Linked DNA regions of Ovis aries. The protein of the gene in region 1 interacts with the protein of each later gene in a pairwise test. Links are inferred from orthologs where the notes say so. Each region holds a gene or a part of one and is shown in the gene's direction. Other genes may lie near its edges.

Evidence for each region.
Region 2: the proteins of SS18L1 (region 1) and RFX6 interact in binary tests that used the Homo sapiens proteins (3 or more experiments, as listed by UniProt). The two-hybrid records come from large-scale screens. The link is inferred for Ovis aries from reciprocal best matches to the Homo sapiens genes SS18L1 and RFX6.
Region 3: the proteins of SS18L1 (region 1) and MAPK1IP1L interact in binary tests that used the Homo sapiens proteins (3 or more experiments, as listed by UniProt). The two-hybrid records come from large-scale screens. The link is inferred for Ovis aries from reciprocal best matches to the Homo sapiens genes SS18L1 and MAPK1IP1L.

What each region holds. Positions count from the first base shown.
Region 1 is NC_056066.1:54,723,786-54,727,435, reverse strand, and holds part of SS18L1 (calcium-responsive transactivator), read left to right. Parts: intron 1-2,480; coding exon 2,481-2,600; intron 2,601-3,524; coding exon 3,525-3,650. UniProt on the Homo sapiens protein: Transcriptional activator which is required for calcium-dependent dendritic growth and branching in cortical neurons. Recruits CREB-binding protein (CREBBP) to nuclear bodies.
Region 2 is NC_056061.1:21,008,572-21,012,946, reverse strand, and holds the start of RFX6 (DNA-binding protein RFX6), read left to right. Parts: upstream 1-1,463; 5' UTR 1,464-1,520; coding exon 1,521-1,740; intron 1,741-1,996; coding exon 1,997-2,153; intron 2,154-4,375. UniProt on the Homo sapiens protein: Transcription factor required to direct islet cell differentiation during endocrine pancreas development. Specifically required for the differentiation of 4 of the 5 islet cell types and for the production of insulin.
Region 3 is NC_056060.1:65,606,720-65,610,369, forward strand, and holds part of MAPK1IP1L (MAPK-interacting and spindle-stabilizing protein-like), read left to right. Parts: intron 1-686; 5' UTR 687-690; coding exon 691-708; intron 709-1,389; coding exon 1,390-2,082; intron 2,083-3,052; coding exon 3,053-3,064; 3' UTR 3,065-3,650.

The sequences.
Region 1 (3,650 bases):
CCTCTTCTTTAACCAATGAGTGTTTCCTTTTTTCATGGCCACGTCATAGGCTGTCACAATATTCTTAAAGATAGAAACAAATGAAAAGGAGCAGAAAAACAAGGGAAGTGGTCGTCTCTGCCCCAGTGGTGGGAAAGCCCCGGGTTGTTCCAGGAAGGGCAGAATCTGGGCTCCCTGGCTCTGCTGCTCCCACAAGACCCTCTTGAGAACTCCTCAGGCATGTTCAGAGAGTCCTGCCTCTTGTTTCAGAGTTGTCCAAACCAGCCCATCTTCCCCTGGGGTTTGGCCCTGGATCAAGGGAAGGTTTTTCTGGGTGCATGAGAGCTGCGCTGCATTCTTACTCACTGCACACCTGCTGTGTCCAGGCCTCAGCAGCTGCTGCTGTGAATTAGCCCCTTTACCTGTTGCCACAGAAGGAGAACAGGACTGTAAGACATGAGAACGTGCAGATGGGCCCCGAAACTCTGCAGCCCTGGAGAAACCTGCCAAGTCTCTGGTGCACTTCTCAGGAGACACAAGGACAGTGAACCCACATCTCCACCAGTTGCTGACACCTCCTTGGCCATCAGCTGTCCCATTGGCCATTATTGCTGGGACCAGCCATGGTTGTGAGGAGGGAGCAGAGGTCAAGGTGTTTCCTTAGATGGTGATCAATCAGAAAGACCGAGGAAAGATTTCCCTGGTGGTCCAGTGGCTAAAACTCCGCACTCCCAGTGCAGGAGACACGGGTTCGATCCCTGGTCAAGGGACTAGATCCCACCTGCCACAACTAAAGATCCCACATGCCACAGCACAGCTGAGCTGGCTCAGCCAAATAAGAAACAGATAATTTTTTAAAAAGACCCACAGGCTCATCAGAGCCCACCTTGGAGAAGAGTTTGCCCATATTACAGAGTGTGTTCCTTTTCTTTGTGTGCAGCTGGAAATGGACTTCCTAGTGGGGTTTTAAGCCTTTCCACATGAATTTGCTCTCAATAAAGCTGTTATTTTTAAATGTACATTATCAGGATCCCAGTTTTTAAATACTTACAATTTATAACTCCTAGAAGAGGAAAGTTTTTTGTTTTTTGTTTTTTTTACTTTATTCTAAGGAAAGTTATTTACAACTGGAAAAATAATGTAGAAAAATGGGTTATTTGGATTCCATTGTTCATAACCTGGCCTCTTGTCACGGTGCCTCTGTCTCTTACTTCCAGAATATGTTTTGAATAAAGAACAAAAACAAAACAATAAACAGCTCTCCTTTCTGGGCAGGCTGTTCACTGGCTCTCTGATGCCACAGAGGAGTAAACACTCCTGGGCCCCCGGCCTCCAGCTGCTCCTGCTAGAGCCTCCAGCTGCTCCTGCTAGAGCATGGAGTCTTATGCAAAGTAGGACCCGACATACTGTAAGTTAAAGGGCAGGCACTGTGGTGGTGAAGAGCAAAGCCCTATTTGAAAGAAAACAATGAAACTAGGCTTAAATTGGTCTTTGTATAAAGGCACTATGAAAACTGAATGGAATTTAATCTCTACACCAATCTAAAACTCTTGTGACCTGCGTTAGGAAGACTTTGTAGAAATATTTTTAATTTTTATTGATTTTTAAAATTTTATTTAAATATAGTTGATTGACAGAGTTGTGTTTCAGGTGTTCAGCAAAGTGATTCAGTTATACATATATACATATATTTACATATGTACTTTTCTTAGGTTCTTTTCCATTGTAGGTGTAGGATTTTTAAATGGTTGTTAACACTCGCTCTTAACCCTTGATAACTATTTGTTAATATGCTTACCACTCTCTCAACTTTTACTGTGAGCTTTCTTCCAAAAATGAGGCTTTTAGCATGGGTGCTGGCTGGCTAGTTAAGAGTTTTGAAAATGAGAATTAAGGCATTTTCTTTGGGAAAAAAAAAAAGAAAAAATGAACCTAAAACATCTCTGGGACTATACCCACAAATAGATGAAGAACACAGAGGTAAATTTCTACATCTTTTCATCCATGAAGTCAGAGGAAAAACACGTTACAGGTCTGAACTGGCTTGCACATTTGCCTGTAAAACGAAATTGCATTGAAACGTGTGGGGTCCCTTTGGACTCTGGGAGTCACACAGCCTTTCCCTGTGTGTGTGTCCAGATCTCCTTCTTATAGGAACACTGGATTAGGGCCCAGCTTGATCCAGTATGGCTTCCCCTTAACAATTACATCTGCAAAGACCCTCTTTCCAAATAAGGCCACAGGTCCCCAGGGTCAGGACCTCAAAGCCCTGGTATCAGGCTTTGTTTTAACTGCAATAGTCTTTTCATTTTGGCCGTATATTTGTATTTCTATCAGATAGTAAGAGAGAAGTATAGTAAAATAATTTGTATTGTTGTGGAAAAGAAAAGGTGCTGGAGCAATAGAGTCAATCTATGGAACCCAAAGCAGCCCATACCTTGGAGGACAATGGAGCTGCCATTGCTCTCTGGAAACAAGTTCATGTCTACTTCCCTCTGCAGGAAACTCACAGTACAGCCAGCAGCAGACAGGGTACCAGCAGGGAACAGCCCAGCAGCAGACGTACTCCCAACAGCAGTACCCCAACCAGCAGAGCTACCCCGGACAACAGCAAGGCTACGGTAAGGCGGTGGGGGTTGCAGGAGCATGGTCATTCAATGGGTGCCTGCGCACGTCTTATTTTGAAACAGCTGTAGGTTTCCAGAAAAGCTATGGGGAAAGCTGATGGTTCCCCATGGCTAACCTCTTCTATTCCCAGCGCCCCATGGTCACAGCTAAGAAACCAGCGCTGGTGTGTGGCCGTGGACTGAACCCCGTTTCTTCAGACCTCATGGGCCTACCTACATGTCCTTTCCTGTCCTGGACTGTCCGGGGTTCCACAACTCCTTGGGTTGCAAGTTGCTCGCACTTTCCTTGTCTTTCCTGACCTTGGCACTTTGAAGAGGGCTAGGCAGGCACTTTGTAGACCCTCCATCAGGCTGGTTTTGGAAAAACCCCTCAGCCTTTGTCAATTCCGCCTTCCCTGTCCACTTAGGCTTCGAGGCACCATCATTGTCTTGCCTGTGTTCTCGCCATTTGCTGTACATTTAACTCGTGTTTACAGTAATAACTGTGACTGTGTAGACTGGTCCCAAGAAGCAGGTCTAGCGCTCTGACAGTGGCCCCCAGTCCCCGTCTGGATGTGGGGGAGGCATAGCTGGAGCCATGGGGGCGTAGCAGGTTTGGCCGCCAGCTGTGGTGCTTTCACTACTCAGGTTTAATGTGGTAGAAAAATGGGTGCTGATGTCTCAGGGGCTTCCCCAGTAGCTCAGCTGTAAAGAATCCACCTGTAATGCAGGAGCCACAGTAGATGCAAGTTGGATCCCTGGGTCGGGGAGATTCCTTAGAAGAGGACATGGCAACCTACTCCAATTGGCAGGCTACATTCCATGGGGTTGCAAAGAGTCAGACACGACTGAATTAGCAGGAATGCACGTCTCAGGGGCTTGGGAGGACCTGTGGGAGAGGGTGTTGGGGGGTGATCTCACGATCCTGCTGTGTTCTAGGACCTGCCCAGGGTGCCCCCTCACAGTACTCCAGCTACCAGCAGGGACAAGGCCAGCAGTACGGAAGCTACCGTGCATCTCAGACGGGCCCGTCCGCCCAGCAGCAGCGGCCTTATGGCTACGAGC
Region 2 (4,375 bases), on another chromosome or scaffold:
AGGCTTTACAGAGACAGGGTACTGGGTGGAGGAGACTGATACTCAAGGTTGTAGGGAGTGATGGTGGTATAGACTTAGAGCTTTGGTTGCCTGGATAGCTGGACTGCCCCAACCTAGATCCAGGCTCTGGAGGTACCAGGAGAAAATCTCTGACAGAGAAGTGGTGACTTTTCCATAAGTTACGCTGAAAAATGGGTAAGGGTCAAATGTACTCATAATGTTAGCCACTTTGGCAAAGTAATGCTCTTAGATTGTTTTACTCCCACCTATAATCCACCCTTCAGCCATCCACCACCTTGGGTCCCATTTTGCTTTTTCCATGTTATATTTGGATATAATATAGTTTAATATTGTTAAATTTCAGGAGTGATCTATCTTACTAAGCTCCAAATGAGGATGGCAGGCTGCAGATTGTGGTGAAGAAGTGTGAATGAAAGCAAGATATTTGCTCTCTCTGGAGAGCACCAAACATATAGATAGTGAGCACAGGGCAATATCTGTCAAAAGAACAGAAGGTGGAAGGAAGGAAAGATTCGGTGTCAATGGGGCAACACAGAGCCCAAGTCTACTGATTTCTCCTTAAAGAAAGAACAAGATATTTTCCCCCATACACGACTATCTCGGCATTTTAGATTGGAAATGAAATGTGGCAACTTCATTTTTTCATTTCCGCAATGGTCCATTGCACTACTACCAGGTATGAGGGGTGAGGAATCGCCAGGGATGCGTTTAAATTACAAAATACGTAGAGAGTGGATGCATCTTTTCCTCTAAGCTCAGAGCCAGATCCCCAGAGGGCAGAGAGGCAGGCATTCTGCGCTGGGGAGCAAGGCAGTCTTCCCACTAGTGGGCCGAGATGGCGTCTGTCCGGGTCACTGAGAAGACCCCTTACCACTCCCCACCCCCCACCGCCCAGGATTACTCTGGGAATAAATCAGCCCAGACCATGTTCTGCAAAGACTGAGCGGTGCTCTGAGGTCCCCCTCCTCCGGCCTGGGCGTGCAGAATCAGGGCAGTCCCCTGAAGCATCCTTGATGTCACCCGAGAGTAGAGGTGGGGAGAGTTGCTTCTCCCCTCCCTCGGCCCCCCACCCCACCCCGAGATGACAGTGTCGCTTTCTTGGTTCCTTGGAGAGCTTTGGGTGTGGAAAAGTGTCCTCGGTCCCAGCTCAAGATGGGAGAAGAGGAAACAGAGGGAAGAGATGTGGGGAAAGGGACTTCATTGCTCAGGCTTGACTCGCGCAGGTGAGAAGTGAGTTCTGAGCGGAGCATCTGTCAGGATGGCAGGCAGGTGGAGACGGGCAGTCCCGCCTCGGCCCACCCGGTTCCCTGGGCTGTCAGAGCTGCCCCTGGGCCGGGCCTTCCTTCTCCGCGACGCCCGGGGGATCCCGAGCCGCGGCCTCCGCCTCCGCCCCAGCGGCCCGGGGTCCGCAGCCCCGCCCCGCCCCGCCCCGCCCCGGCCTCCCGGCTCCGCTGGGCGCCGGTCGAGCGGCTGGCGCCCAAGTCTCGGCGGCCAGGAGGATGGCCAAGGTCCCGGAGCTGGAAGACGCCTTCCTGCAGGCGCAGGCTTCTCCCCCGGTTTCCCCCGAAGTCCAGGAGTGTTGTGTGCAGCTCCTGGGCAAGGGTTTGCTCGTTTACCCCGAAGAAAGGGTGTACCTGACGGGCGAAGCGCAGCCGGGGCGCGAGCTGGGCAGCGGGGAGAAAGCGGACGACTCGGAGCTGCCCGGGGGAGTTAAAGCCGGTGAGTGCTCTGCCCTCCCGGGACGTGACTGGGACTCGGATGTAGTTTTAAAAGGGCCTCCAATGATAAACACATCGCAAACGTACATGTGTTTCCCCTAGGAAAATGCTGGTCGAATAGAAATTAAGTCTAAGGGATTTTGTATAACTCTCCTCCGAACCCCCCATAGACCACCCCGTTTGACGCCAAGATACATTTAGAGCTAATTAATTGATTTTATATTCTGGTTTTCTTTATCTTTTCAACTGGCAATTAGAAATGCATTTAAGCAATGGTAACTTTTCCTCCGAAGAAGAGGATGCGGATAATCCAGACAGCAAAACTAAAGCAACCGATCCACACCTCTCACAGAAGAAAACCATCACGCAGATTATGAAGGATAAAAAGAAGCAGACCCAGCTCACCCTGCAGTGGTAAGGCTCGCTCAAGGGTACCCTTGAATTTTGAAAGTCAGTATATTCAGATTCTTTGCTTTTTTCCATTTGGTTCTCTCAAACGTTCTTGCAGGAGTTTAAAAGACCAATTAGAAATTCATCCAAAAATTGTTTTCACTGAATGTTTTGTATAGAGACATATTCTGGTAAAGGTGAAAAATGATCTGCAATGCAAATAAAAACCATCACTTTGTTCATTATTGGCTAACTTCTTTGTAATTTTGTAATTTCTTTGTTGTAGTTTCATTATTGTAATTCCTTTGAATGTAAGCAATAATGAATTTTAATGACTTGTTCAACATGCAATCAACTCATAAGCTTTTATGTTTATAAAACATGATTCTTAAAAAATAAGTTAAAAAGAGGAAGGATCTTAACCCTACCTTTTACCATAGAGTGCAAATTCAAAATTGTGTATCAGTTGTGTATCAATTCAGCCATAAGATGAAATATGTTTGAACTAGAAGACATAGATCAATCAGTTAAAATGGTGCTATTAACTTAAATAAATATTCAACTATTTTAAAAGTAGCTTTTATATATGATTTATTACAGTGAAATATCACTAATTAGATTTTATGGAAAATCTTCTAAAACCAAGAGTTTATCAGTAGGCTCTCTAAGTAAAAGTCCTACAGAAACTTTTATAATATTGTTTCAAAAGGAAGAGGAATCTAAAGTAAAAACATAATATTAAACTTCCCTATGTAGGGTAAAGAAATTTCCTCCCAAATTCCAAATAGGATGCAAATAAGTAAAAATGTCTATTTGCTAATAAGTTACACAATCTGTTTATATGTAAAATGTGATCTAAATCTTAAAAAAATACAATAGAAAAAGCAGTATCTTAATAAAAACTAGTACATTTTATTTCATTTAAACATTGAATTACAATTTGCATATACTGTTTGTGATTGTGTCCTTAATTCTTCCAAACATTTGAAATATAAGTTTAATATCCTTCTAAAATTATGGCTAATCTATTGAAATTGATATTTCATTTATTAGTTGAGAATATACTAGGGCAGTAAATAATTGAGCTAATTATCTTAAATATTTAGGAAACAGCTATTTTCTTTAGGATAATTGGAGCAAAAAGGTTTTGACTTCAGATATATTATGAAGGCTTTTTGAATGATCACTTCCATTCAATTTGAATGAATGGAAACAAATGGGTTTTTATTTTATAAATATAAATACATTACAATTAAAGAAAAAAGTCATATCCAAAATTAAGATTGTATTTATGTCTAGGATTAGTCAGTATTTTGAAGACAAAAACAATGCCAACAATATCAATACAGCCAGATGAAAAAGTGGACATTATATGTGTCATTTAAATATAGTTAAAACAGTTGAATATTTCTCAGTAATTTTCATATGTTTTGAGACTATAAAATGTCATCATTTTTGTTTGAACTTTCCACACTCTCACCCCCTCCCAGAGATATATAGTTTTAAAAAAACCTACATGAGTTATTTACCTTTTGATAATTTTCCCTTACGACTACAGATTAGAGTGGGGATGTTAAAAATTAGAATTAAAAATTAAAGTGCCTGAGTAGCTTCAATTTTCACTGTCAACTAGGTGTTTGGTTTTGTGTATGTAAATTTTACTGGGATTTCCATCTTTCTAAGACAAAGGAAAAAAAGAACCAAATCCCAGGAAACATCCTGTAGCTTTTATCTCACGCACCTTGGGAACATGTTAAATCAGAGATCTTGAAGAGTTTCACTCAATTTTAACCTAAATGTATATTCTATATTGTGTTGCTCTTGTATAGTACTAATTATGATCTTACTGTACATAAAAAGAAAGTAAGTAAATTTTAGCCATTATCGTCTACTGAAAGGGTGGAAGAATTGAGACTAGAATCCACAAGTTCTGATTTCTTGATGGCTGTTCAGGTATTTGTAACACTTAAATATATGTTATTACCTTTATATAAATTGTGTGCAATTGCAATTGCTGGTATCCAAATTAAGTGGAATTATTTCTAAATTTTCAAAGATTATATGATTATGTTTATAATATAGAACCGAATTTAGTGTCACGTTTGGCGGCATCCATAGAGAATAACATTATGTTTCGTGAGTACAGGATCTTTTAGGTAATGATAAGTACTAATTACAGCAAAAAAGGGTAGAGATAGAGGTAAACTGGTACTATTTCAAACTTACAGTTAATGTATTCTTATGTA
Region 3 (3,650 bases), on another chromosome or scaffold:
TATATGAAATCAAGGAACAAGCAAAAACTTAAAAAGTGATTGCTTTCTTAGAATAGATTGGGAAATAGCATGAGTAGAAAGTGGTCCAAGCATATTCACAGAAAAAGAAGTCTAAATGGGGTATTAAATTTAAATAATGCTCTACTTTCCACTTAATTAATAATCATATGTAAGTTAAAACATGATGCCAATCTTTAACCTGTCATTGAAAATGATGTATAAATTTAGTAACATCCAGTGGTGAAGAGGAGCTTTAAAAAGGTAGTGTAAATTGGGATGGCCTTTTTGAGATGGATTTTAAATGGCCTTACCTGTTGACTGTGTATTTCACTTCTAGTGCTTTTTCCTCGTAATAGACTCAAAAAGATAGGTGTTTAGAGATGTTCACAGTGTCGTCATTTTAAAAAACTCAGAATGCAACAGCCTAAACAGCCACCAACTTGAGAGTACAAAGTAAATTATGGATCACTTTTATATACTGTATAGCCAGTAAAAAGGGATGAAGTTTATCAGGGTGTATGAACTATTTTGGAGATTTTTCCTACATGAAGAAAGTAATTTTATAAATTATTAAGATTCCATTTAAATAAAATAATATATGCATAATTCCTTAAAGAATATAAAATATAATAAACTGGTTTTGAAATATTCCTTCTTTTTTTGTTTTGTTTTGGTTTTGTTTTTAGGAAAATGTCTGATGAATTTTCGGTAAGTTGATGCATTTATTCTTCATAAGTTTTTTGGCTCTTGAAAAAAGACATGGTCCTAACTGTGGGCCCGAAGTCTTCCAATTTAAAAGAAATGCTTTTTGTGATTCTTCTTCTTTTTTTTTTTTTTTAGCATGTGATTTTGATGGATGATTTGTCTTAATTTAGCTATAATATTTGAAAATGCATTCTGTAGTACTTATTTCTTGATGAATCTTTAAGTATAATTTTTTAAAGGCTTACTTCTGTTTTCTTTTAACCGGATAGTGTTAATTATAGCCAACATTTCTTGATAATTGTGTACCAGGCACTGTGTTAAGTGCATTGAGTGAGTTATCTCATTTAGGCCTCAGGTTAACCCTAAACTGTTGTTTTGAAAATGAGGAAACCAAAGCTCAGAGAAGGTATGTCACTTGTTTGAGGAAAAGCCAGGATTCAGTTCATACTGTGTTGATCAGTTGTATTTAGAAAACTTGAGCTTCTCTGAGGAATTTGCATTGTAAAGCTGATATTCAAGGAAACTCCCAAATTTTGTATTAAACGAAGTGGTTTTAAACGGAACAGCTTGGCTTTTGAAGAATTCCTGACCTGATAGCTTACCATCCTTCATAGGTTGATAATCGTGTATGGCATTGCCTGTCCCTGAATAAGATCAATAAGACATGCTTGTTTTGTATTCCAGTTGGCAGATGCGCTACCTGAAAACTCCCCTGCCAAAACCTCTGCTGTGAGCAATACAAAACCCGGCCAACCTCCTCAAGGCTGGCCAGGTTCCAACCCCTGGAATAACCCAAGTGCTCCACCTGCCGTGCCATCTGGACTCCCGCCAAGTGCAACACCCTCCCCCGTGCCTTTTGGACCAACGCCAACAGGGATGTACCCCTCCGTGCCTCCCACCGGACCGCCTCCGGGACCCCCGGCTCCCTTTCCTCCTTCTGGACCCTCGTGCCCCCCACCTGGGGGTCCTTATCCAGGCCCTGGCCCCACTGGGCCATATCCTACACCAAATATGCCCTTTCCTGAGCTTCCAAGACCATATGGTGCACCCACAGATCCAACTGCAGCTGGTCCTTTAGGTCCATGGGGATCCATGTCTTCGGGACCCTGGGCACCAGGAATGGGAGGGCAGTATCCCACCCCCAATATGCCATATCCGTCTCCAGGGCCATACCCCGCTCCTCCTCCTCCCCAGGCACCAGGGGCGGCCCCACCTGTTCCATGGGGCACTGTGCCACCAGGAGCCTGGGGACCACCAGCGCCGTATCCTGCCCCTGCAGGATCGTATCCCACACCAGGACTGTATCCCACTCCCAATAATCCTTTTCAAGTGCCTTCAGGACCTTCTGGTGCTCCACCGATGCCTGGTGGCCCCCATGTGAGTGTTTAATTTGTTATTAACATGCAGTAATAGTCCTATAAGCTGAAAAACTCTCCAGTTTTGGATGGACAATTAGAAAGCTTTTAAACCCTTTTTTTTTTTTTAAGGGGTGTGTATATAAAATAAGTAAATTTCAACCTTCAGACAAATTTAGATAAAGCATTTAAAAGGATGAAAGCACAGGTATTCCTGGTATTAAAAATACAGAAATTGCTCAGATATCCCTCAAAGGATTTGTAATGTAGTAAGCGGTATCCTCAACAGCATTCTTGAGGTAAACTCAGAGATGTGTTTCATTGGACTTTTTTTTTTTTTTTTTTTTTTAACTTCTCTCAGTAGTGTTTTGATAGCATCAAACCAAAGCACAAAGTTCAATGGAAGTCATCTCTCTCAGTCTGGCTAGATATAGAGGTAGATTTTCAGAGAATCCAGAGCCATGAATGTGTAACGTTGCCCATCGTTCACGCAGCTGTCGTGTTTCTCAGCCAGGGTTATGTTAGACCCTTCACAGTACTGAGCTCAAGATTATCCCACGCTTCTGCATTGCCAATTATATGTAATGCTGTGTGCTCTACTGTCAGCCAAGCTGGAGTAGGGTTGACATCTTAGTTGAGGACCTGTCTTGGGCATATGACCAAGTAGAAAAGCACCATGTTCCCCTATGAATTGAGCCAAGTCACATTCTCCACAGGGGAAAAGAAAATCTGTTTATTCTTAAAAGGACTAATCAGATCTCCAACCAGATTAATCACAACCAATTAATCTTAATAAAGTGTCCCTGAAACTTTTAATTAGTGTAACTTTTTGCCATATGTATATTGTTTTAAATATTTCAGTAAAGTGTATGCCAGAATAAGTGATGATTTGCTGTTTGGATTTATTAAGCAATAAGTTTAAGTCACAGCAAGGAGTTAATAAACTCCATGTACAAAATCTAGAAGTTTACTTTTTCTTTTTTCTATTGCAGTCTTACCATTAAGTTAACAATGGATGAAGAGATGACGCTTTGCTTTTTGAAGTACATAGATATATGCACTTGAATGCATATATAAAAATTGCTGTTTCCCTATTCTTAGAGGGCATTCATGAAAGAACAACTCTTGCACCTCTCAGAAGATGTCTGCCTCTTGTGCTTGGATGTATAGTACATCTGATGGATACAATCAGATAAAAATGTAAACAAATCATTCAAATGTGATTTTTATTTGGTTTTTATGGAAAGTTAAATAATTACGTATATTGAATAGCTCTTTGCTACAATTTGTTTAAAACAGACTTTTCAATTTGTTTAAATTATGAAACTAAACACTTATATAATCACTTTTTCCCCCAAATAAACACACTTTGAAAACAATCCCATTGTCATAATTTAAACAAATGATACTTCTCAACATCTTGAGCTGTTCTCTCTACAGGATAAATAAACCTGGTCCTTCTGAGGTTAAAATTTGGATATACATTTTAAAACTGTTGGTGATTACTGTCAGATGTTGAGTTCATTTTTATCCTTGAGCTTTTAGTGAAAACTTTTCCTTCGTTTTTAGTTCCACTGATAAGTCTTATTT